Linked DNA regions of Saccharomyces cerevisiae S288C. The protein of the gene in region 2 interacts with the protein of the main gene of each other region in a biochemical or structural test. Each region holds a gene or a part of one and is shown on either strand. Other genes may lie near its edges.

The links.
Region 1: of the proteins of SNF1 (region 2) and GLO3, one has a biochemical effect on the other in vitro, tested with the Saccharomyces cerevisiae proteins (2 studies listed by BioGRID).
Region 3: of the proteins of SNF1 (region 2) and MIG1, one has a biochemical effect on the other in vitro, tested with the Saccharomyces cerevisiae proteins (12 studies listed by BioGRID).
Region 4: of the proteins of SNF1 (region 2) and RDS2, one has a biochemical effect on the other in vitro, tested with the Saccharomyces cerevisiae proteins (3 studies listed by BioGRID, with this or other methods).

What each region holds. Positions count from the first base shown.
Region 1 is NC_001137.3:401,114-407,356, reverse strand, and holds GLO3 (ADP-ribosylation factor GTPase-activating protein), read left to right. Parts: upstream 1-3,004; coding exon 3,005-4,486; downstream 4,487-6,243. Other genes in the region: DSE1 (Dse1p), read left to right, coding at 1-15; casein kinase YCK3, read right to left, coding at 970-2,544; YER121W (uncharacterized protein), read right to left, coding at 4,638-4,982; phosphatidylinositol-binding protein SCS2, read right to left, coding at 5,488-6,222. UniProt on the Saccharomyces cerevisiae protein: GTPase-activating protein for the ADP ribosylation factor (ARF) family. Involved in retrograde vesicular transport from the Golgi to the endoplasmic reticulum.
Region 2 is NC_001136.10:1,410,642-1,417,185, forward strand, and holds SNF1 (AMP-activated serine/threonine-protein kinase catalytic subunit SNF1), read left to right. Parts: upstream 1-1,731; coding exon 1,732-3,633; downstream 3,634-6,544. Other genes in the region: YDR476C (uncharacterized protein), read right to left, coding at 1-486; SNM1 (Snm1p), read left to right, coding at 3,934-4,530; PEX29 (Pex29p), read right to left, coding at 4,569-6,233. UniProt on the Saccharomyces cerevisiae protein: Serine/threonine protein kinase essential for release from glucose repression.
Region 3 is NC_001139.9:430,317-436,243, reverse strand, and holds MIG1 (transcription factor MIG1), read left to right. Parts: upstream 1-3,181; coding exon 3,182-4,696; downstream 4,697-5,927. Other genes in the region: HOP2 (Hop2p), read right to left, coding at 1-494, 565-619; YGL034C (uncharacterized protein), read left to right, coding at 2,665-3,030; VIR1 (Vir1p), read right to left, coding at 4,914-5,927. UniProt on the Saccharomyces cerevisiae protein: Involved in glucose repression of the SUC, GAL and MAL genes as well as of the CAT8 gene. Binds to two sites in the upstream region of SUC2.
Region 4 is NC_001148.4:297,683-303,837, reverse strand, and holds RDS2 (gluconeogenesis transcription factor RDS2), read left to right. Parts: upstream 1-2,609; coding exon 2,610-3,950; downstream 3,951-6,155. Other genes in the region: 60S ribosomal protein uL18 RPL5, read right to left, coding at 1-717; COX11 (Cox11p), read right to left, coding at 1,220-2,122; ODC1 (mitochondrial 2-oxodicarboxylate carrier), read left to right, coding at 4,335-5,267; iron-binding protein ISU1, read right to left, coding at 5,788-6,155. UniProt on the Saccharomyces cerevisiae protein: Transcription factor which regulates the expression of genes for gluconeogenesis, the TCA cycle, and glucose metabolism. Involved in the cell wall remodeling process and drug resistance.

The DNA.
Region 1 (6,243 bases), on a different chromosome or scaffold from region 2:
ACTACTGTTGTCTAGTTTCCTTGAGTGCTTTCAAATAAAAACAAATAACATATCAATGAATCAAAGTAACATTTCTTTGAAGATAATTTCTTTGTCTGTCACTCAGAATGCCCTTTATTACTAACGACCATCCTCCTTGATGAAGGTGAAAATCAATAAAATTCAAATTGTGACCCAAGTCCAGTCAGTGGATCCTTCTGGTAACACAAGTATTCGGTTTTTTTTTTTTCTCCATGATCTGTATGTTTTACTAAGCTTTGAATTTTTCTTACACAATGTATATATATATATATGTGTGTGTATATCAAAACAGCGCGCGTAATTGTATGTAGCATTTAGAATCAAGTTCAATGCCGAAATTTGTTATGGTTGCCTACGTTTTTTTGGCTTCTTAATTTAATATCAAAATCTTCACGATATGCATTCATTCTCAAGTTTGTAATTGTGCATTTTTTTATATATAGTCCCGCTCTCAAGTGAATTAGAAAAGTAAAGTATACACGCAAAACAAGGGCGTAAATAAAAGAAAACGAAAAAGCAACTAAATAAAAGCTTACATCCAAGTATCAAAGAAGTCGCTCACGGTTTCTCCAATTCTTGAACCTTGATTAATCATAAATTACATATTATTTTGGATATTCTTAAAAAAATGCTATAATAGTGCTTGAAGATAGATTTAGCACACCAAAAACATACCGGGATTAATATATATGTGCGTGTAGTCTTTTGATAAAGGAATATACAGAAGGAAAACGATTACGATGCTGACTATGTCTCATTTTCTTCTTTTTCCTGTTTCTTTACCCTCTCCGGAATTCAATTATTGTAGATGATAAAATAAAGGGTAACAGAGAGAAAGAGAAACAAAATAATACATTATTGGAAAGTCATAAATTGGGAAAGAGCGGCATAAGGAAACAGCCAATCAAAAAAAAAAAGGAAAAAGAGAAAAGTATAAAAATCGCTTTATCAACAGCAACAAAAACAGCAACAACAATATTTGTATATTTTAGAACAAAATGTATCATTCTCGTCATCAGAATAAGCATCATTTTCTTGTTCGTAATTTCGTTGACTTTGATAATTGATATTCTTATTTGCAAGGTTTGTGTAGTGGTTTGGTAAGTTGTGCTCATTATTACTTCTTTTAGGGTTAGCTTTAGAACTTGAATATGGTACAAATGGTGAATTTTGTGTATGACTGATGGAGTCGTACGTTTGACTTTGACTTTTAATTGGCCGTTGAAGATTTGAATGTGTTTCAGGAATATATTTACTATTGGGTTCGATTTTTTTCAAGACGTGTTGTTGTTTAGTAAAGCTCTGCGGGTTCGAAGAAATTCTGGATTTCGAATTGTCCTTGTTATAACTGTTTTGAGCTTGTTGCTTAGGTGTCGCAACTGGCGTTGTATTTCGTGTCTTTGAATTCGTATTCACATTGTTTCTTGCAGTATTGCCATTGACTCTTGGATTTGGATTTCCGTAACCATGCAAGTTAGCTCTTCTATTAATCTTGATATTCCAGCCTTTACCACCATTCAAATCCATCCAGTCATAGTGTCCATCATCCTTTAAGTCGTTTAATCTCAAAGCGTCATCCATTAACGAGATTAAATAGTCATAATCCGGATCTTCGTCGAACTTCAAGGAACGTGCATATTTTAAATATGTGGCAAACTGATAAGGAATAGCATTATTCAATAAAAGATCATCAGGATTCAATTTCTGTTTAGTCATACCAATCTTTTCATACTTCAGTTTGTTGTTTGGTGCTTTCAAACCTTGCCATGGCAAGGATCCCCTCAAGAAATAAAAAAAAACGTGACCTAGCGATTCTAAATCATCCCTACGTGACTGTTCTCTTCCAAAATGAGTATTAATAGACATATATCTGGCGGTACCGCTCAATGATTTTCGTTCACGGTATGGTATATGTTGTTTCGTTCTTGGATCTCTATATTGTTTTGCCATACCAAAGTCAACCATGTATATTAAATTGGGATCATTATTAGAAGAGGAGGCACATGATTTAATGACTTTTCCTTCAGGTGAAATTCTTTGATATTGAGAAATTAAAAAGTTATCGGGTTTAATATCGCGATAGATTAAGTCGTGATCATGAATTGCTCTAACTCTATCAATCATTTGCTTGGCAACCATACAGGTTGTTTTCACTGAAAATTTTCTACCACACCACTCAAAGAGATCTTCCAATGATGGCCCTAGTAAATCGATAATCAAGATGTTGTGCATACCTTCTTGACCAAAATAATAAGCATGGGGAATTCCAACGCAGCCATTCAATATCCTATAGGCTCTAAATTCGTCACGCAACTGGGGTGCGTCCGAATGTCGCGGTTCGAATTTAATTGCGACTGGCTCGTTCGCCATTATTATACTAGAGTCCCTCTTGCTACCGGTCTGCGCTTGACAAGAATGAAGAATGTTCTCTCCCTCAAATATTACTCCGAAAGACCCTTCGCCAATCTTAGGTCCTACAGCATAATGAATACCTACAATGTGTTGTGAAGATCGTTGGGACATCTTTCCTTATCGTCCTTTTACACTTTTTCTTCAGAATGAGATACCACTTTTGATTAGTGGACCGTAGCACGTATACCCTTAAATAGCAGACAATTCTTGCAAAACGGATTTCCTTCTTTTTTAAAAAACAGCAAATAATACCAGTACCTAGATGTTACGAATGCTGTTCCCCTGTTACTCTCTAAGCTGCCCTTTTCAATTCACCTATAGAATGTTTAAAATTTTACTTTCAATATTGGTATTATCTATGACACAAAAGGAAAAGTAACATCGTTTGGTCATTTTCGACGACACGGTAAAGTTTCGAAAAAAAAAAAAAAAAAAGAAAACAACTATTCTTCGTAAACACGATTTAGCTGGCATTTTATAAAAGGAGATCAAGGCGATAGCAAAGAAAGGGTATTTGTTAAGTACTTGTTGATCCGGTCTTCTTGAGCAATTTAGTATACACATAGCGACAATGAGTAACGATGAAGGAGAAACATTTGCCACGGAACAGACTACTCAACAAGTTTTTCAGAAGCTAGGTAGCAACATGGAAAATCGAGTTTGTTTTGATTGTGGTAACAAGAATCCTACTTGGACTTCGGTACCTTTTGGTGTGATGCTGTGTATTCAATGCTCTGCTGTGCATAGAAACATGGGTGTTCATATCACCTTTGTAAAGTCTTCTACATTAGATAAATGGACAATTAACAATTTAAGAAGGTTTAAGTTGGGTGGGAACCATAAGGCTCGTGATTTTTTCTTAAAGAACAATGGGAAACAGCTACTAAATACAGCAAATGTTGACGCGAAAACAAAATATACGAGCCCTGTTGCTAAGAAATATAAGATACATCTCGACAAGAAGGTTCAAAAGGATATGGAGTTATACCCATCAGAATTAGTCTTGAACGGTCAAGATTCTTCGGACTCACCGTTGGACACCGATTCAGACGCTTCCAGGTCGACTTCCAAAGAAAATAGTGTTGACGATTTTTTCTCTAATTGGCAAAAACCAAGCTCCAATTCCAGTTCTAAACTCAATGTAAATACAGGCTCTCTCGCCCCAAAAAACAACACCACAGGCAGCACACCCAAGACCACTGTCACTAAAACGAGAAGTTCCATCTTAACGGCTAGCAGAAAGAAACCGGTATTAAACTCGCAAGATAAAAAGAAACATTCAATTTTGTCTTCGTCAAGAAAGCCCACTAGACTAACCGCAAAGAAAGTCGACAAATCACAGGCAGAAGACTTGTTTGATCAATTTAAAAAAGAGGCTCAACAAGAAAAGGAGGACGAGTTCACTAATTCGTCTTCTAGCACCAAAATTAGACAAAATGATTACGATTCCCAATTTATGAATAACAGTAAAGGCAACAATAATAACAGTATAGATGATATTAATACCCAGCCTGATGAATTCAATGATTTTTTAAATGACACTTCAAACAGCTTCGACACAACTAGAAAAGAACAGCAAGATACTTTAACACCCAAGTTTGCCAAATTGGGATTTGGTATGACCATGAATGACGCCAATGATTTGGCAAAGCAACAAAAAGAATCTCAGAAAATAGCTCAGGGACCAAGATATACGGGCAGAATCGCGGAAAGGTACGGCACACAAAAAGCTATATCATCTGATCAATTATTTGGTCGTGGCTCATTTGATGAAGCAGCAAACAGGGAAGCGCATGACAAGTTGAAAACATTTGACAATGCTACATCAATTTCCTCTTCTTCATACTTTGGAGAAGATAAAGAAGTGGATGAATTTGGTAATCCCATCAATAGTAGTGGAAGTGGAGCAGGGAATTTTGATGGCCGTAATTCTAATAACGGTTTCATCGATTTTAATGCCTCCGCAGATGATGAATTGCAGATGTTGAGAGACGTTGTAGAACAGGGTGCTGAAAAACTCGGTAGTTATTTAAGGGACTACTTAAGAAAATAAGTTTAATTTTCTCTTTAATTGAATTTTTTTTTTTTCATTGTTATCATTGTTTTTTATTCTCATTTTTCATTATATGATAATTATATTTATGGTACATAGAAACGGTTGTATATGCATTGTACGTGCGTTTATTCTTATTCTTCATCCCCCCTTATCTTAGTTTAAGGTTTCTAAAATCGAAAGTTTCATGTGCGTATGAAGCGGTTGAAAATGCAGACGAGGTAGCATTTGGTTCATTAGCATTATAAACACTTTGCTTTAAAGAAGGTAAGTTATTTTCGACATCTCTGTTTCTAATTGCTTCATCGTCCACATAGGGAGAGTCTATACCCACTTTCCAAAACGAGTTCATTACTTGATTACCATATTCGTTAGAAACACTTGCATTTAAACTATCACTTGCCGCAAGGGCGTAGTAGTGCGCATCCTGTTGCATTTCTTCGCTCTTTTCCTCTGCTGGCCTTGAATTCTTGTCGTGCCAGCGCGATAAGCCCATGTTACTATATTGTCAATATGTGAGTCCCTCGTTCACTATGAGACCTAGCAAAAAACAAACTGAAAGTAGGTGGCTGTTTATGTATTCATTTATTTATGGACCTTTTAGGCGCGACCCCCTCGCAAGATCTTCGTTAATGTGCATCCAAGACCCTCCCCTCATTTAGTAGACCCCGCATTGTTATGGTTAATAACGGATAGTTATTTGCCCAAGATAGCGCCTACTACACTAGGGAAACCGAACATGAATAAATTAAACAAGTAATATGTTACAACAGTGGTATAGTTATCGATTATTCTCCTATTTAAAAAATAAAACATATAAAAAAGTTAGGAAAGTATGATCTTTTAGTTCCTTGTTCTAGTATTGTAAAGGCTACAGAAGGAAACAATAAAAAAAGATTGTAGAAAAACAAAGTAAAATAAAGACTGAAAGGAAGGAAAGGGCAAAACACACACATATATAAATATATATTTAGAATACAGCTATATCCTCAATCTCCCTATTATCTGTAGAACCATCCTAAAACCAAGATAAGGAGTGCAACCAATATGAATATACCCATGCTGGATGATTCATTTTCTGCAGGTACGGTTGCGGCTTCCTTTATCTGGTTCTGTGGGGCCGGAGTGCTGTTGGACGTTTGCTTCTCATTTTCATGAGGAACGGTTTTCTGAACGACAGGTGGGACCTCTTCTTTCTTTACTTGGACGGGAGGTTGAGTTTCCGGTTCAGCAGGGACCTCCTTTTCGTTTACCACAGCAGGCACTTCCTTTGGCTCACTGTCTTGGACTACTGGTTCAACAGTTTCCTTGTTTTCCTGTATATTTTGGTTCTGTGCTGGGTGTACATCTGGACTTATCAAATATTTGACTTTTATCTTTTTAGAGATAGCCTGTTGCTTGAACTCAGCCTCCAAGTCGGACCAAACATCTGCAACAGCCTTGCCATTGAGGTCGTAAGGAGAAGGCAACGTGATAACCAGGAACTTGTCACGGCACTTAAAGTCTGCGGCAGGCTCTTCAGTCAAACCCAGGAAGATAACTTGAACCTGGATTGTTTCACCTGGAGCAACAACTGCGGCGTTTGGTCTCACGCAGTAAAACTTTGGGGCTGTGGTCTTGACCTTAAATGCAATGGTTTGGTCTGAATTGTTGGAAATACTAGCGTATTCTGTCGATTGCTCCGTTAATGGAGACTTATACACCAACACGTCAGGGGAAATTTCAACAGCAGACATACTTAGGTTCGCGGAGATTGT
Region 2 (6,544 bases):
GAGTCGCAGCACAAGATCACTATCCAGCCACGCCTCTAAGGTGGAGCCCACAGGATTAGGGACCAGGAAAAAGATAGCGTGCAGTGCAGGACGATAGAGGTAGCACAATGGCGGTAGCGCCACGCCTACCAGGATCAACAAGTCTACTAGAGTGCAGGGGTACTCAACAGTGTCGATCTGGATGAGCGACAGCTTCCTCTTCTCCGCAGCGATGCGGAACATCTTGTTGAAGATTTGCTTGATTCCGGTAGCAGTGCGGGTATCGTTGCCCGTGTCATTGTCAATGAAGTAGATAATCTTCTCGATGTTCTGACCCGTTTCTGTGTGAAGGAACTTGAGCGTAAACGTGGACGTCTGCGTGTCGATCTCTGTCAGTCTGACATGCTTGACGGCCTTGGTAATGGGAACGTGGCCAAAAACGGCGAGACAATCCTCCAGCCCCAACTTGTGCGTATCGTTGATGCTTACAATTAACGAATCCCACATACTTGTGTATACCCGTATACTTGCTTGAGTTGATAGAACGCACGCTCTCGCCGATATAAGCCTCCACTCTTTATATATACCATATCCAAATAGGTGTGCACTTTGTGGCAAGGAGTAATTATAAACGAACAGAATATCCCGACCACATGGCAAGACCAAGAAAGTTCAAGACTGCGCAAGAAACGGCAGAACAGAAGCTGCTCACTAACTTCAACCTTGTAACTGAATTCGTAGGGTTAAAACTCCACCACGTTTGTAGCGGAGCAATGTCGCCTTTAAGAAGTCGCTAGCTATCTCTTTCGCCTCCGTATAGCAATCATTGTCTAATGCAATCCGCCATCGTTATGTCCGCGGCTTTTGTCTGGAGGGCAAATCACGATAGGAAGAGGCATCTTCTGTAGTAAAGGCGTCTGTAGTAAAACCTTTTCTTGGAAGCCATAACAAATCATGGCCACCAATGCCTGGCAAAAAAGGGTGGCATTGAAGGGAAATTTCAAAGATTTTTTTAATAGAGGCCCTAGGAAAAAACATGTCCGTACGTTTAGATACGGTTATAAACTGTACAATCATTTGCTATCAAATGCTGAACCTTCCCCAAGGGACTAAAAGCTGGAAATGGCAGTGTGCTACTATTTCTTTTAGTCGTATATTTAACTCTCGATCTTGCAGGCTATGATGTCCCATATGATGTCCCACATGACGCAAGTAACTTCAAAAAAAGAGGAATTGCGTGGCGGCGTGGATGCAAAAGGATGGGCGTGATGATGGGACTCGAGACCTGGTTTTACTCAATGTTAGTCATATGTATATAGTCCTTATAGGCCCATATTAGAAAGTACATGTCATAGTTACCCTCTGCAGTTTTTCTCGTAGCGGAAGGGGATGGAAATTTTTAACGTAAAAGAAAGTTGGTAAGAGTATGGCACATCAACAGGTAGCGTTATAGGGGCCAAGACATAGCTTTGGGCTTAGTACTGTAGGCTTGTTACCAGAACTTTCATTTATCGAAATATTCTTTTTTCACATTTCCTCTTACTGCGCATTCGTGTCCAAACAGTCATTCAGGAAGTATAACGATAAACAATAGATTGAAGCCTGAAAAAAAAAAAAAAAGCACGACAATAGAAATTGTTTCAGTGTCATTGGCTTTTGATAATATATAGAGGCTGTTTCAATAATCATAGCGAAAGAAATAGAAGTTTTTTTTTGTAACAAGTTTTGCTACACTCCCTTAATAAAGTCAACATGAGCAGTAACAACAACACAAACACAGCACCTGCCAATGCAAATTCTAGCCACCACCACCACCATCACCACCATCACCACCACCATCACGGTCATGGCGGAAGCAACTCGACGCTAAACAATCCCAAGTCGTCCTTAGCGGATGGTGCACATATCGGGAACTACCAAATCGTCAAAACGCTGGGAGAGGGGTCCTTTGGTAAAGTTAAATTGGCATATCATACCACTACGGGCCAAAAAGTTGCTCTAAAAATCATTAATAAGAAGGTTTTGGCAAAGAGTGATATGCAGGGCAGAATTGAAAGAGAAATATCTTATCTGAGACTCTTAAGACACCCCCACATCATCAAACTGTATGATGTTATCAAATCCAAAGATGAAATCATTATGGTTATAGAGTACGCCGGGAACGAATTGTTTGACTATATTGTTCAGAGAGACAAAATGAGCGAGCAAGAGGCAAGAAGATTTTTCCAGCAGATCATCAGTGCCGTCGAGTACTGCCATAGGCACAAAATTGTCCATAGAGATCTGAAGCCTGAAAACTTACTACTAGATGAGCATCTGAATGTAAAGATTGCCGATTTTGGTTTGTCAAACATCATGACTGATGGTAATTTCTTAAAGACTTCTTGTGGTTCTCCCAATTATGCGGCTCCTGAAGTTATCAGCGGTAAGCTGTACGCAGGCCCAGAAGTGGACGTGTGGTCATGTGGGGTTATCCTTTATGTTATGCTTTGTCGTCGTCTACCGTTTGACGATGAAAGCATCCCAGTGCTTTTCAAGAATATCAGCAACGGTGTTTACACCTTGCCTAAATTTTTATCTCCTGGAGCTGCTGGGCTAATCAAAAGAATGTTAATCGTTAATCCATTGAACAGAATAAGCATTCATGAAATTATGCAAGACGATTGGTTCAAAGTTGACCTGCCAGAATATCTACTTCCACCAGATTTGAAACCACACCCAGAAGAAGAGAATGAAAATAATGACTCAAAAAAGGATGGCAGCAGCCCAGATAACGATGAAATTGATGACAACCTTGTCAATATTTTATCATCGACCATGGGTTACGAAAAAGACGAGATTTATGAGTCCTTAGAATCATCAGAAGACACTCCTGCATTCAACGAAATTAGGGACGCGTACATGTTGATTAAGGAGAATAAATCTTTGATCAAGGATATGAAGGCAAACAAAAGCGTCAGTGATGAACTGGATACCTTTCTGTCCCAGTCACCTCCAACTTTTCAACAACAAAGCAAATCCCATCAAAAGAGTCAAGTAGATCATGAAACTGCCAAGCAACACGCAAGAAGGATGGCAAGTGCTATCACTCAACAAAGGACATATCACCAATCACCCTTCATGGATCAGTATAAAGAAGAAGACTCTACAGTTTCCATTTTGCCTACATCTTTACCTCAGATCCACAGAGCTAATATGTTAGCACAAGGTTCGCCAGCTGCCTCTAAAATATCTCCTCTTGTAACGAAAAAATCTAAAACGAGATGGCATTTTGGTATACGATCTCGCTCATATCCATTAGACGTTATGGGTGAAATTTATATTGCCTTGAAGAATTTGGGTGCCGAATGGGCCAAGCCATCTGAAGAGGATTTATGGACTATCAAATTAAGGTGGAAATATGATATTGGAAACAAGACAAACACTAATGAAAAAATACCTGATTTAATGAAAATGGTAATTCAATTATTTCAAATTGAAACCAATAATTATTTGGTGGATTTCAAATTTGACGGCTGGGAAAGTAGTTATGGAGATGATACTACTGTTTCTAATATTTCTGAAGATGAAATGAGTACTTTTTCAGCCTACCCATTTTTACATTTAACAACAAAACTAATTATGGAATTAGCCGTTAACAGTCAAAGCAATTGATGGTGGAACGTAAAAGAATGATATGGAAGTTCCCTTTTTTTTATGTATCGTAACGTATTTGCAACATCTTTATAATATCCCTTTGTATAAAGTAAACAATCTTGATTAAATAAACCTGAACATAATTTATTGATGTGAATGTTCTTTTATTGGCATTATTTCTTCGGATGAAAAGCAAATTTCACGCTCTATGAGAAAAATTGAAAACGCTATTCTATGTGAAAATAGAGATGAGTACTACTAGTGGCTACAATAAAAATACTGAACCTTTGACAATCGTACAACAAAAGGATCCCAAAAATGAATAAAGACCAGGCAGAAAAATATCAAGAACGGAGTCTGCGACAAAAATACAACCTACTACATGTACTGCCAACACTGAATTCCAGAGCGTTATCGGGACTATACTATAAAAATTTTCATAATTCTGTGAAGCGATATCAAATCATGCTGCCAGAACAACTGAAAAGTGGGAAATTTTGCTCCCATTGCGGGTGTGTTTACGTTCCTAATTTTAACGCAAGTCTTCAGTTAACGACTAATACCGAGCAAGGTGACTCCGACGAACTTGGCGGCGAGAGTATGGAAGGACCAAAAAAATGTATCCAGGTTAATTGCTTGAATTGTGAAAAGTCTAAATTGTTTGAGTGGAAATCTGAGTTCGTTGTTCCAACATTTGGACAAGATGTTAGTCCGATGATCAATAGTACCAGCAGCGGGAAGGTTTCGTACGCGGTAAAGAAGCCCCAAAAGAGTAAAACTAGTACTGGTAAGGAGAGATCCAAGAAGAGAAAGTTGAACTCACTTACAAACCTTTTATCGAAAAGAAATCAAGAGAAAAAAATGGAAAAGAAGAAAAGTTCGTCACTGTCATTAGAAAGTTTTATGAAAAGTTGACTGTATCATCAGTGAACATATAGTATAACAAATCAAGTTTATATAGTTGAATTGAGAGTGTCTGTTAGCTCTTCGATTGACGGATAAGATGCATCCGCGTCGATATTGTTGAGATTAGGAATAGTACCGTTTATACTTTCCTCATCAGCGCGGTCATCATCACTACTGTGAGTTAGACCGCCACTCATTGAACCCTTCGTCACGCCATGTACGCCTTGCCTATATGTTTCTTCCCTCAATGGATTAACTACTTCCTCCTCACCAAGGTTTGAAGAAATACCAGAATCCAGTTTTTTCCGCACGCAACTGTTGGTCCACATTCGCCTTCTATATGAGCCCCTTTGTCCATCAAGATTGAGGTCATAGACCCATTTTGTTTCTGAATCTATCTCGACATACTGAATAAATTCGTCCTCTACCCATTCTTTTGGATCCAAATCAAGCACCCAATGAGAATTGGCTTCCCATTCCCAATCCTTAGGTGGCTCAATTTCTTCTAATGACTTCACTGAATTTTCCTCAATACGCCTCTGGTATATTCTCAAACTAGAGAAAAGAGAATAATCGTCATCAGAGAATCCAACTGGGCGCCATTCTTTGTATTCAGGAAGATACTTTTGGATCTCAAAGATCATAACAAGTCGGTGCTCCCTAGCCTCAATGAGTTTCAAATGCTGCAAAATCTTAGATTCCAGATTAGTACTTATAGTCAAAGTTTTTAATCTTGTCTCCTCCGAATTCAATTTAGTCAACAAATATTCACGATTGGACGGATGCGAGGCAATAAAAAAACCCCAACCTAGCAGTATCAGTACGGGTCTCATTGGAATGAGCTTGATAAATTTATCCATGTACAGAAAATTTAATGTTGCTATTATTAACAATACAATAAAATAAAACGACGAAATAGCCTCGTTGGTGAAGAATGCAAACTTTTGTAATATGAGTAAAGTAAAATCGTAGAATTTAACATATAGCAGCATATGGTTTTGTAAATCCGTGAGGTTTAAGACAAATTCTTGGCTCAGTTCAGGGACTGGTTTAGGAACCTCAGGTCTTCGCAAAGGTGGGCCTTGTGCTGGTGTTTGATTATTATCTAGATAGCTTGTAGGGTTTGGCTTATGAATGTAAAGGTATTGCGGGACCATTACGCAGAATAACAAATAGAATATAGGGAGCGAAGAAAGCATTTGAAAAGGTTTCAATATAATGAGCGTGTATAAGAACATGATAGATACTGTATACGCTGGGTTAGTCCAGTTTAATATCTTTATTAATTCATCCATAATCATGAATGGTACCCCTAGTCTCGAGTTCATCTGTATAAAATTCCTACTCGTGATCTGCACAGACAGCTTAGGCCTTTCTTTACCAGCAACCATACGATGGTGAATTGTATCAACAGCCGTTTTGGAAGATGGTGGTAATGCCATTTTGATTATCTTCTCTACCAGGGTATCTGCCATCATCTTTTGGATGTTTGATGTCGAGGGAAAACCGCCACCACTAGTTGGCTGTCCACTGGAAGATGGCAGACTACCACGTGTAGGATCACTAGTTCTAGAACCACTAGATATGCTCTCTTTCTTTGCCTGACTTTTTCCATCTATGCCATTTTGCACTTTCTTCCCCTTGAGAGTTGATCTAGTTGGAGTACCAGCATTATAGGTGTCATTCCAGAAAAAATTTGTCACCGAGTCCATCTAGACGTATATACAGTAGGAGACTGAAATTTTGCTACGTATACAGGTGAGTATATTCATGCGGCCTGATCAGTAATTAAAAATACACACTATTCCTCGTTGTTATTTCTTAAAATTAGTTCAAGAAGAAGGGGTAACCCCTAAGCTTCTTAAGTTCACCACAAAAGTATTACTGGATAGTGAAACAACAACCACCCATAACATTAGTTTCCTAAACACTACGGCGGTATTCACCTAGACGCCATCCTAGAAGGCTACAAAGTGATGCACGTATGATGATATCGGACATTAGAGCGTATACATACAACAGG
Region 3 (5,927 bases), on a different chromosome or scaffold from region 2:
TGATCTCTTCGTGATTTCTTTTTGTAGCAGCGTATCTTCAGACATTATCCGCTTGACAATCTCATCATTTGCTGGATCCCAATCATCCTGTAGACTTTGTAATTTTGATTCAATCTTTTTCAACTCGTTTTCTTCGTTTTCAATGATTGTTAGGAGATCTTCATTTTCAGGTTCTTTAGTTACAGAGTCAAGAGCGTCTTTGGCCGTTGATTTATCTCTCTCTAGTTCTATTAAATCATTTCTCAGTTGCAATACAGTTTCAAAATCAAACTGAGAAGGATCAATATTGCTTGGTAATGCTGTATCTTGTTCATTACAAGAGTAAATTATAATCTTTCCGAAGGTTTTAGACACTATGCGTTTCTCGTTAACGAGATTTTCTAATGCTTTGGTTGCTGTTGTTTTTGTCACTTTATTGTGCAAATTCTGAACTATATCATTTACAGAAAATGGTTTATATTGTGACACCAAGTAATCTTCTATTAATTGTTCAGCTGATAAAATACCCGGGGTACAATTGTTAGTAATGGCGGTATTTGATGAGCATGTAAAAAAATACTTAACCTTCTGAGCCTTTTGCCTGAATGGCTCTATCGTTTGATTTCTTTTTCGGTGCCATATCTTTCAAATAGAGCCTGGTCAGTTCACGTTAGCTTTATTATTAATATTTGTTAGAAACAACTCTTAAAACGCTTCTCTTTTTCGGTCGCGTAAAAGGATAATATTATTAATGGAAAATTTAGCCGCCGAGGACATAATCTTTTGAATCTTCATAAAAAAGCAACTGTAAGCAATGTAAAGTCCAAAACTTTACCATTTTTTGTTTGATCTTGCATGAGAATACCGGGTGAGCCTAACATGAAAAAGATAGCTAGCCACTATTGTAAAAATGTGATAAAGGATACGAGACTCAAATTCACTTGGATAACTATCTAGCAGGTTTTGAGTCAGCCATATTAGGTTACATACCGGTCCAAACCTATATAGAGCCATTGTACGATCCGACTACAAGTTATTTATATGGAAATTAACAGATTGTTTGGAGTCACCGTACGCAGCTCACATAGATAGCTTATTGTGCAAAATATAATTAAATAAAGATGCAAGATGGATGATAACAAGAATTATAAGCAAAGGATTATTGATGTTCCGAATAATTCAATTCACTATATAACAGGTGTTGGGTATATGTATGTGATCTACCTGGTACGTGTAATTTAAAAAATAAAATAATTGGGAAAACTACGGAATTACGTTTGCGCATTGCGTCCGAAGATCAGCACCTCAGATAAAAAATCAACTTTCGCCGTGGTAGACTTCGAGATACTCTGCTAATAGCGATGCTCGATATTACTACCAATGTATGTGAAGGTTTTGATTGTATTCAATCCTTTTTCAGATAATTTACCCTTGCTTTAAGCTGCGTATATCAAGTGCATTTGCTGTCTGCTGATGTCAATTAATTGTATCAATTGGCCAGCTTCGGATAACGAACGATTATCGCGCGAGTGAAATAGACTGGGTCGACCCTTTTGAATTATCACGGCATCGCAATATCTTTGGAGCAGTACAACATTTACTTTTCTTGACCAATCCTAAGAGTTTGTATACATTTTTTGTAAACTGTAGTACGGCGTTAGAGTCAAGAAGTAGCTTATTATATCCTGTGCACAAATTTCAAAGTTTTTGCCGCCATCATATGGCTGAAAGAGGGCAGCAAATTCCATCTCGTTATTTTTGCATATCAACGCAAGCGTTACACAAGATATGGTTAGAAGCAACGAGCAGAAATTCATTACAATGACAGAAATTAATTGCCGTTGCAACATTGTTTTGCCTCTATCGCGTGTGTTTCCTTGAAGGCAGTGTATCACTGAATGTCATCAGTAATGTTACCAAGAATGAACATCCTCCAAATACTCATAGAAACCCGTTTAAAATTCGGGAATTGATGACTTCCTTATGGTAGGCAAGTGTGATTTACAGACTTTCCATGCGATGAACCCCTATTTTAATCGTATGGATCACCAGATCAAGAATTGGCAGTTCTGTCCCATTATTAGAATAGCGAGAAAACGGATGCTTTCATAATTTTTGATTGTTGCTTCATCCTATTTCACCCTATTTAATAGCCTTCTGTAGAAATATCGTGTATGGTTCCTTTATCATTGCTTAGCATAGCTGCCACTAACCTACATTAATCGACTTTTTCCCGGAAAATTAGCGGGTAATCGATTTTTCTAGATGGCATTGTGGAGGAAAGTAAGTGCGTGGGGTGTGTAAGTTGCCGTACAATGCAGTATAACCAGTAGGACTGGAAGGTAGTCAGTACAGTAAGACTAGAAGTTAGCGAGCCAGCACGTTTCCTTCGCGCCGGTTTTTTTTTTTATTTTTTATTTAATTTTTTTCAAAACTTGACGTGTAGAAGATTGACGTCTGGGGTTGGCCCCATGAATTTTTTATCTATTTCTTCCCTGTGCCTAATTCGTAATATCTCCACTGATAGCGTAAAAAAGCGCTTTATTTTTCCGAAAGTTGTGATGGCATTCCATACAGTTTATAGGATGGTAGCAAGTGATAAGAGCTTGGGGCCCACAATTAAGCAGCAGAAAAGCGCAATTGCGACACTAGCAGTGTAACTCGATAGGATTTTATGGAGTGTTGATGAATGTAGTTGCCATTATAATGGCTTCTCAGGAAACCTGTAGCGGCCGGGCCCCGCGAGAAACTCCAGAGTGGCGTAGGCCGGCTTGTTTAGTTGCTAGCATACTTGTTCGAGCTCTTGAGTTCTCCTGGCTTTTCTCCACGTGTCTGCTTGTTGCCTTTGATTTCGCGAGAGACTGCGGACTGCCACCCCACTCCGGGAAAACCTGGAGTGATGGTAAAGGCCCTGCGGCGCTTTCTTTCGGAAAAACTAATACGAAAGAAGCAACAACAAATTTTTACAACAGGCTGGACGAGAAAAGTGGGGAAGAGCAAGCAGAAAAAAGAAAAGAGAATAGTCGTTCTTGGATAATTTATTTATTATAACCCTTTTTTTTCACCCCAGTACTCATTAACGAAGACAAAGGAGAGTAAGAAAGCCCGGTAAAGCATTTCGAAGATAAGAGAGCCATTTATTCTAGCTCGCTTGTAACTACACGAGAGTTGAGTATAGTGGAGACGACATACTACCATAGCCATGCAAAGCCCATATCCAATGACACAAGTGTCTAACGTTGATGATGGGTCACTATTGAAGGAGAGTAAAAGCAAGTCCAAAGTAGCTGCGAAGTCAGAGGCGCCAAGACCACATGCTTGTCCTATCTGTCATAGAGCTTTTCACAGACTGGAACATCAGACGAGACACATGAGAATTCATACAGGTGAGAAGCCTCACGCGTGTGACTTCCCCGGATGTGTGAAAAGGTTCAGTAGAAGCGATGAACTGACGAGACACAGAAGAATTCATACAAACTCCCACCCTCGAGGTAAAAGAGGCAGAAAGAAGAAGGTTGTGGGCTCTCCAATAAATAGTGCTAGTTCTAGTGCTACCAGTATACCAGATTTAAATACGGCAAATTTTTCACCGCCATTACCACAGCAACACCTATCGCCTTTAATTCCTATTGCTATTGCTCCGAAAGAAAATTCAAGTCGATCTTCTACAAGAAAAGGTAGAAAAACCAAATTCGAAATCGGCGAAAGTGGTGGGAATGACCCATATATGGTTTCTTCTCCCAAAACGATGGCTAAGATTCCCGTCTCGGTGAAGCCTCCACCTTCTTTAGCACTGAATAATATGAACTACCAAACTTCATCCGCTTCCACTGCTTTGTCTTCGTTGAGCAATAGCCATAGTGGCAGTAGACTGAAACTGAACGCGTTATCGTCCCTACAAATGATGACGCCCATTGCTAGCAGTGCGCCAAGGACTGTTTTCATAGACGGTCCTGAACAGAAACAACTACAACAACAACAAAATTCTCTTTCACCACGTTATTCCAACACTGTTATATTACCAAGGCCGCGATCTTTAACGGATTTTCAAGGATTGAACAATGCAAATCCAAACAACAATGGAAGTCTCAGAGCACAAACTCAGAGTTCCGTACAGTTGAAGAGACCAAGTTCAGTTTTAAGTTTGAACGACTTGTTGGTTGGCCAAAGAAATACCAACGAATCTGACTCTGATTTTACTACTGGTGGTGAGGATGAAGAAGACGGACTAAAGGACCCGTCTAACTCTAGTATCGATAACCTTGAGCAAGACTATTTGCAAGAGCAATCAAGAAAGAAATCTAAGACTTCCACGCCCACGACAATGCTAAGTAGATCCACTAGTGGTACGAATTTGCACACTTTGGGGTATGTAATGAACCAAAATCACTTGCATTTCTCCTCATCATCTCCTGATTTCCAAAAGGAGTTGAACAACAGATTACTGAACGTTCAACAACAGCAGCAAGAGCAACATACCCTACTGCAATCACAAAATACGTCAAACCAAAGTCAAAATCAAAATCAAAATCAAATGATGGCTTCCAGTAGTTCGTTAAGTACAACCCCGTTATTATTGTCACCAAGGGTGAATATGATTAATACTGCTATATCCACCCAACAAACCCCCATTTCTCAGTCGGATTCACAAGTTCAAGAACTGGAAACATTACCACCCATAAGAAGTTTACCGTTGCCCTTCCCACACATGGACTGATACGCTGACAAGTTTTTGGCGGTGCAGATAAATCAAAAGACAATAGACAAGAATTAATAATATTAACAATTAATAATTAATAAATAATAAATAATAATAATAATAATAATAATAATAATAATAATAGTAATAATAATAATAATTAATAACGATAAAAATATTTAATTATGATAGTAAGAATACATATTTTGATTGTCTTAGTCTTCCGCAGAGATAATTAATTGTTCTCATTTTCAAAGTCATCTATATGTATTGATTGAGCTCTACTGTTGTTTTTAACTTTATTGTGGCCCCCTAAAATATAATTTTTACCAGTATTAACCATTTTGCTCTTATTAGTACTTTTACTGATGGTGGAACCCTTGAAATTTGTCATGGGCGATTCAATCCATAGATTGTTATTGCTGCTTCCACTAGTGTTCTTGTATGGAATTGGTGTCGTAGGTGCCGTAGTCATAGCATCGGTTGCTCTAGTTAAGGTGGTTGGTTGTCTCGTCATATTGGTATTGGTTGTGTTGAATGAATTGTCAAGAGAATAACTCTCATTCATGGAACCAGGTCCTTGTGTGCCGCTGTTATTGTTGCTACCATTACTTTCCTGAGAAATTAGGCTGCTTTTGTTGAACAAAAACCTGTTGGAAGAACATGGAGTAGAGTTTTGAGGCTGCTGCTGCTGCTTACTAACGTTAGTGTTAGTGTTTTTCGACGTGGACGGTATGAAAGATGTGGACGAGTAGACATCGTACTTCGATAACGTAGTAAAGTTTTCAATATTTTTCTGCGCAGCTGATTGTGATGATGTACAATTATCGCTTGTTGATGCTGAAGTTATTGTATTTGGTGGAGTGGATATCACAAATTGAACATCCTCAGGGAATAATTTCAGCAAGTCAGATGTTGTTAGTTTTATTGGCTTAATCTTTGGTTGCTCTTCATAGAAAAGCTCCTTATAAAATGCATTATAAACTTCAGAACCGTCATTCCACAATGTGATGTAATCTTTCAAAGCTTGGAAAGAAAGTTGATTTTTTAAACATAACTTTTTAATTAAATTATCATCATCACTTCCATCCCTAATTTGATGGAAGAACAAATGATTCAATAAGTTTATGGATATTTTTTGTAAAATCAAATCATCCAGAGAAACCTTTGTCGCGAATTTGATCAAATGATATAGTGCTAAATTTTTTTCCTTTATGACCAAATTTTCACACAATTTCAAAGAGCTAAA
Region 4 (6,155 bases), on a different chromosome or scaffold from region 2:
GATGTCTTCCAAAGAGTCAGCATCAATGTCGTCAGCTAGGTAACCCTTGAATAATTCAGAGAATCTTTCTTCATCATCGTCAGCTAATTCTTCCATGTATTGGGAAACGTGGCCACCAAAGATGTAAGATCTCAATAATTCTGGGTCAATTTCTTCGGTTTCGAAGTCCCAACCTGGGAATCTGTTTTCGGAGTGAGGAACGTACAAACCACCGTCAGAAGCACCCTTTAGAGCACCGAAAACTCTGGCACCAGTGGTGGTTCTTTGCAAACCAATATCCAAGAAGACCTTGAATGGACGTGGACCATCTTCAACAGCTTCGGTCAATTCGTATTCACCTTCAACTTCTTCAACACCCTTGTAAGTTTCGTCCAAACCCAACTTTTGCAAGGTTCTTCTGGCGATCAACAAACCAGTAGCGTAAGCAGCAGCCCAGTTGGTCAAACCGTGGGTAATACCGTATCTTGGCAATTCGTGGGAGTAGGCAGCAGCTAAGACGACATCACCAGTGATGGTAGAAGAGATGATTTGACAGATGATATCCTTGTTAGTGAATCTAACAACCAATCTGTACTTTGGAGTGTTGTACTTGGCCTTGTGTTGGGTGACCAATCTCTTTCTTTGGTAGTAATCAGTCTTACCTTCTCTTCTTCTTCTGAAAGGAGTTTGGAAACGAGAGGAGTAAGCAGAGGACTTAGCGTCTTTTTGGAAAGCCATTGTTGCTGAGATTTGTGACGGTGTCTTTTATTTTGAAGTGTAGGAGAAAACAAAAGTAAAGGTTGGCCTCTGAAATATACTACATCGGATATGTCTACAAACTTTTCTATTTATTTTTTTTTTTTTCAAAGCATCTGGCGACTACTGGGATCTGCGACGCTAAGTGAAGCCTCTGAAATTTTCGGATGTGAGCGATTCCGCATTGAAAGCCACCAGAAAAAAAAAAAAGAAAAAAAAGAGAATATTTCAATAATTTTTTTTGCTTTATGGGTGTTTTAGGATGTCTGGATGTACAAGTTAGCTGTCTAGAAAAGCTGTATCACATGAACAAGAATCTTCATTTCTTCATTTCTATGACGGCTAGAAAACAAAGATTTGATGATTACAAGAAGTTCGGTGCCGTGATTATATGCTTAAAACATCTCAATATGAAGTCATGGTGTTTTACTTAATTCAAAAGCATAACAGTATTTATGTACATTGAATGACTTTGTATTTACAATTAATTTGAGTTGTCTTTCCTTGTGTCTATAACTTCTGGGGATAAAATAGCAGCATTAGCCAATGACGCTGCTTTTTCATCTGCATTCATCTCAGGCTCCTTTTTAGAGTCACTTACAGCTGTACCATCACCATAATGAGCTCTGAAGAATGTGTAATGTAAAATAATATCATCGATATTTCGCATCGCTGGATCGCTAGCAAAATCTGGATCGATAAAAAAGAAGACAGGCATATCTATTTCTTCACCGGCAGCTAGCTTTTGTTCTTCAAAGCAAAAACATTGGATTTTATTAAAGTATTGAGCTGCTTCACCAGGCGCTATGCTATAAGTAGCCATACCAATAATATCTTTATCGCTGTAATTCTTGGCTTTATAAAAAGCGAGGGCTGTTTCACCAGGCAGAACGTAAACCTCACGTTGTTGAGGAACGAATTTCCACGGTAAAATTTGTGATACTTCACTGGTGAATGAGATACGAATTCTCTTCTCAGTATCTACAGGAATGAGTTTATCGTCGGTAAATTTTCTTCTATCTGTTATGGGAATCCCACCAAAACCAGTACGAGCACAAATGGCTCTATAGAGTGGTACCGCTGCATATGCCAAACCCAAGAAAAGTACCGCGACGCTGCTGAAATAAAATGCAACCGTACGATCTTTAAATTTTCTCTCCCTTGCTCTTTTCAACTCTCGCAATTGCTGGATTTCATTTCTAGTAAGTTTTGAAATATCAAATGTATGTTTTGGTTGTTCGCTGTTCACTGAATAACTTCTCAATGCAACGTTTTTGCATATGGCCCGCCTTAGAGCTAGCGCATGAGGTGCCAACCATGAGTCGGATCTAAGAAAAGTTCCTAACAGTGGAACCTTAGATCTAACAATGGGACATATTCTTATCATGACAATATTAGGGAATTTTGGCTGCAATATTATTTGTTTGTGCGCTGAAGTGCTATTTCACCTGCGACAGGAATATTATTACTTTAAAGAAGATACTTAAGCGTTCGCTGCCCCTTTAGACTCTTCACTGTTCTTTGATTTGTATTGGTTAGTATCTATGTCCTTAAAAGATATATCATGTTTCATCCGTCAAAGGGCATTGGTTAGGGAAAGGGTTTTCCAATGGTTACGCTGTTTTTCCTACAGATCCGCTCCTTAGATGGGGAGAATAATGTTTTGGAATGGCAGAAAACAAGAAAAAGCAAAACAAAGAGTACGAAGGAAAATGAAAAATAGTTGAATATTAGAAAAAAGGATGAGGTCTCTGGGATGGAAGAAGAAAGTAATTCTTATGAGAAAATTTGCGGGAGTTCTTTGCCAGTGAGATAAAGTTTTTTTTAATTTTAATCAACACAAAATACACATATTTATATAAACTGACGAAATAATGTCAGCAAACAGTGGTGTAAAACGAGCCAGTAAGGCTTTTAAAACATGTTTATTTTGTAAACGGTCACATGTTGTATGTGATAAGCAACGTCCATGTTCTAGGTGCGTCAAGAGGGATATTGCCCATTTATGCAGGGAAGATGATATTGCGGTTCCAAATGAGATGCCATCACAGCACGAAAGTTCTCCGAATGATAATAATATACAGGGCAAATATGCAAATAAAGCACACACTGGAATTCCGTCTGACTATCAGAATGAACCAGTCAATAAAAGTGGATCCACATATGGAGAGGAACTGTCACCGAAACTAGACTCCTCTCTTGTAAATGATACAACCAGCTTGCTGCTTCCGCAACAACCTGTATTTGTGTCCGAGAATGTTGGTTCGGAATTCAGTTCTTTGAATGAATTTCTTTCTATGCTAGAAAATCCTCTATTGACTCAAACATCACTAAGTTCCAGCAGTGCGAGCAATGTTCATTTGGAAAATGGCTCACAAACCACACAATCGCCATTAGAGTACCAAAACGACAATCGTAGGGATGAAATAGGAGTGGCAAGACAAGAAAATAGGTCGCCTACTATTATGTCAGGTTCTTCCAATAGTATCTCGAAAGGGGATAAACAAGATCAAGAAAAGGAAGAGTCTCGAATTCTAGCGAATGCAAACGAAAACAGTGCACCGACACCGAAGGAACAATTCTTTTTAACAGCGGCGGATCCGTCAACAGAGATGACACCAGAACACCGGCTGAAGTTGGTCATAAATGCGAAGCTTGAAGCAGGATTATTGAAGCCGTATAATTATGCCAAGGGGTATGCAAGACTACAAGACTACATGGACAAATATATGAATCAGTCTTCCAAGCAAAGGATTCTGAAACCACTATCCACCATTAGACCGGCGTTTAGAACCATTGCGCGTTCATTGAAGGATGTTGACTTAGTTTTAGTGGAGGAGAGCTTCGAGAGGATGTTATTATCTTATGATCGTGTTTTCACCTCTATGAGCATGCCAGCGTGCTTGTGTAGGCGTACCGGTGAGATTTACAGAGCCAATAAAGAGTTTGCTTCACTGGTTGACTGCACAGTCGATGATTTACGCGATGGAAAGCTTGCGATCTACGAGTTGATGACAGAAGAAAGCGCTGTGAATTTCTGGGAAAAATACGGGTCCATAGCGTTTGATAAGGGTCAGAAGGCTGTTTTAACAAGTTGTAGTCTTCGAACCAAAGATGGAATCCGCAAACGGCCATGCTGTTTTAGTTTCACTATCAGAAGGGATAGGTACAACATCCCAATTTGCATCGTCGGGAATTTCATCCCTTTGTCATAAGCATAAGTAATACATAGTAGGTAATTGGTATTTCCAGCGTCATTAAAAAGCAAAGTAACGGGTTTACTTTTTCCTCAAGCCGCTGGCCCGAGCAGTTACTTGAAATAGCCGTATTACTACGAGCAATACGAAGACCTTTTTCTACCAGCATTTGTTTTTTTTCAAATCATTCCCATTATTACCCCAGGATCTTTTCATAATGCGGCGACCAGAGATAGGGAAAAAAACTGCGAACTGGCTGAATCTGATTTGGCGAAGGGCAGATTCTCGGGTATTTCTGTGAGGGTGACCGCCGTTGATATATATCAGTGACTTTTGGGAACCTTTATCTCATTTATTCTCAAGATAGAACTGTAACGAGGGTGAAAGAAAAAGAACTGTAAGATGACATCTATAGATAATAGACCTTTGCCGTTCATATACCAGTTCACAGCCGGTGCCATTGCCGGCGTCTCGGAGCTATTGGTGATGTATCCATTGGACGTGGTGAAGACAAGAATGCAATTACAAGTGACAACCAAAGGTCATCCCGCTGTTGTTGCAGCGAAAGCAGCAGTAGATCACTACACGGGCGTGATGGATTGTCTTACAAAAATTGTGAAGAAGGAAGGATTTTCGCATCTTTACAAGGGTATCACATCGCCTATATTAATGGAGGCTCCGAAAAGAGCAATTAAGTTCTCCGGAAACGATACATTCCAAACGTTTTATAAAAAGATTTTCCCCACGCCCAATGGGGAGATGACTCAAAAAATCGCCATATACAGTGGTGCGTCCGCTGGCGCCGTGGAAGCCTTTGTCGTCGCGCCTTTTGAACTAGTGAAGATTAGATTACAGGATGTGAATTCACAGTTCAAGACACCCATTGAAGTTGTAAAGAATAGTGTTGTGAAAGGTGGTGTTTTGTCACTTTTCAATGGGTTGGAAGCCACTATCTGGAGACACGTTCTTTGGAATGCCGGTTATTTCGGTATAATATTCCAAATTCGGAAGCTTTTGCCGGCGGCTAAAACAAGCACGGAAAAGACCAGAAATGATTTGATCGCAGGTGCTATTGGTGGCACTGTCGGGTGCTTGTTGAATACACCATTTGACGTGGTAAAATCTAGGATCCAAAGAAGTTCCGGGCCGCTGAGGAAGTACAACTGGTCCCTGCCTTCAGTGCTGTTAGTTTACCGTGAGGAAGGGTTTAAAGCATTGTATAAGGGATTTGCGCCAAAGGTCATGAGACTTGCCCCCGGTGGTGGGTTATTGTTGGTAGTTTTCACGAACGTCATGGATTTTTTCAGAGAAGTCAAGTATGGTAAAAAACAATGATCCTGACGCTTTTTATTTCATTTTGTTGTAGCCCGCCCATACATGTATACGTATATATATATATATATTTATTGGAAGTAAAAGTAAAAAACTCGCTTACCTAGCACATGTTTAAACAAGCGTTGAAATGAAGGAAATAATGAAAGTCTAGTTTTGTCTAGCGATAAATAGTGTTAATTAAAACAGCCTTTTACAACTAAAGAATATTTATATAATAATGATGCCATATACCACACATGGGAAAACAAATATATAAGGGGGAAGTGGGAGGATGAAAAAAGAGTAATGAAAATACTAGTAGTACCAGGTGAGGTAAAACAAGCACGTCCGTCCCGCTTTCACCCTGGAGAAATATATCTAGGAAGATATGCATGAGAAGAGGGAGAGAAAGGAAATGCTAGATTAAGGGAAAGAAATATGACAATATTAATGAGAAACATCCATGCTTGCACAAATTAAGTCCAACTTGTTGATTAGTGAGGGTTTGATCTTGTTCTTGTCCCGGTTATCTTCTTATTCATTACGATAACATGGTTGGAGTGTTTCTCTTAGATTTGTAGTCCTTAATAGCTGCCTTGATCGCATCTTCCGCTAACATAGAGCAATGCAACTTGACTGGGGGCAAGCTCAACTCCTTAGCAATTTCAGTGTTCTTAATTTTTGCCGCATCGTCCAAGGTCATCCCCTGTACCAATTCAGTCATATATGAAGAGGAGGCAATGGCGGAGCCACATCCAAAAGTTTTGAATTTGACATCTTCAATAACGCCAGTAGAGTCGTTGACTTTGATCTGCAACCTCATCACATCACCGCACGCTGGCGCACCCACTAGACCAGTGCCGACGTTGGGCAATTTTTTATCTAATGAGCCGACGTTTCTTGGATGTG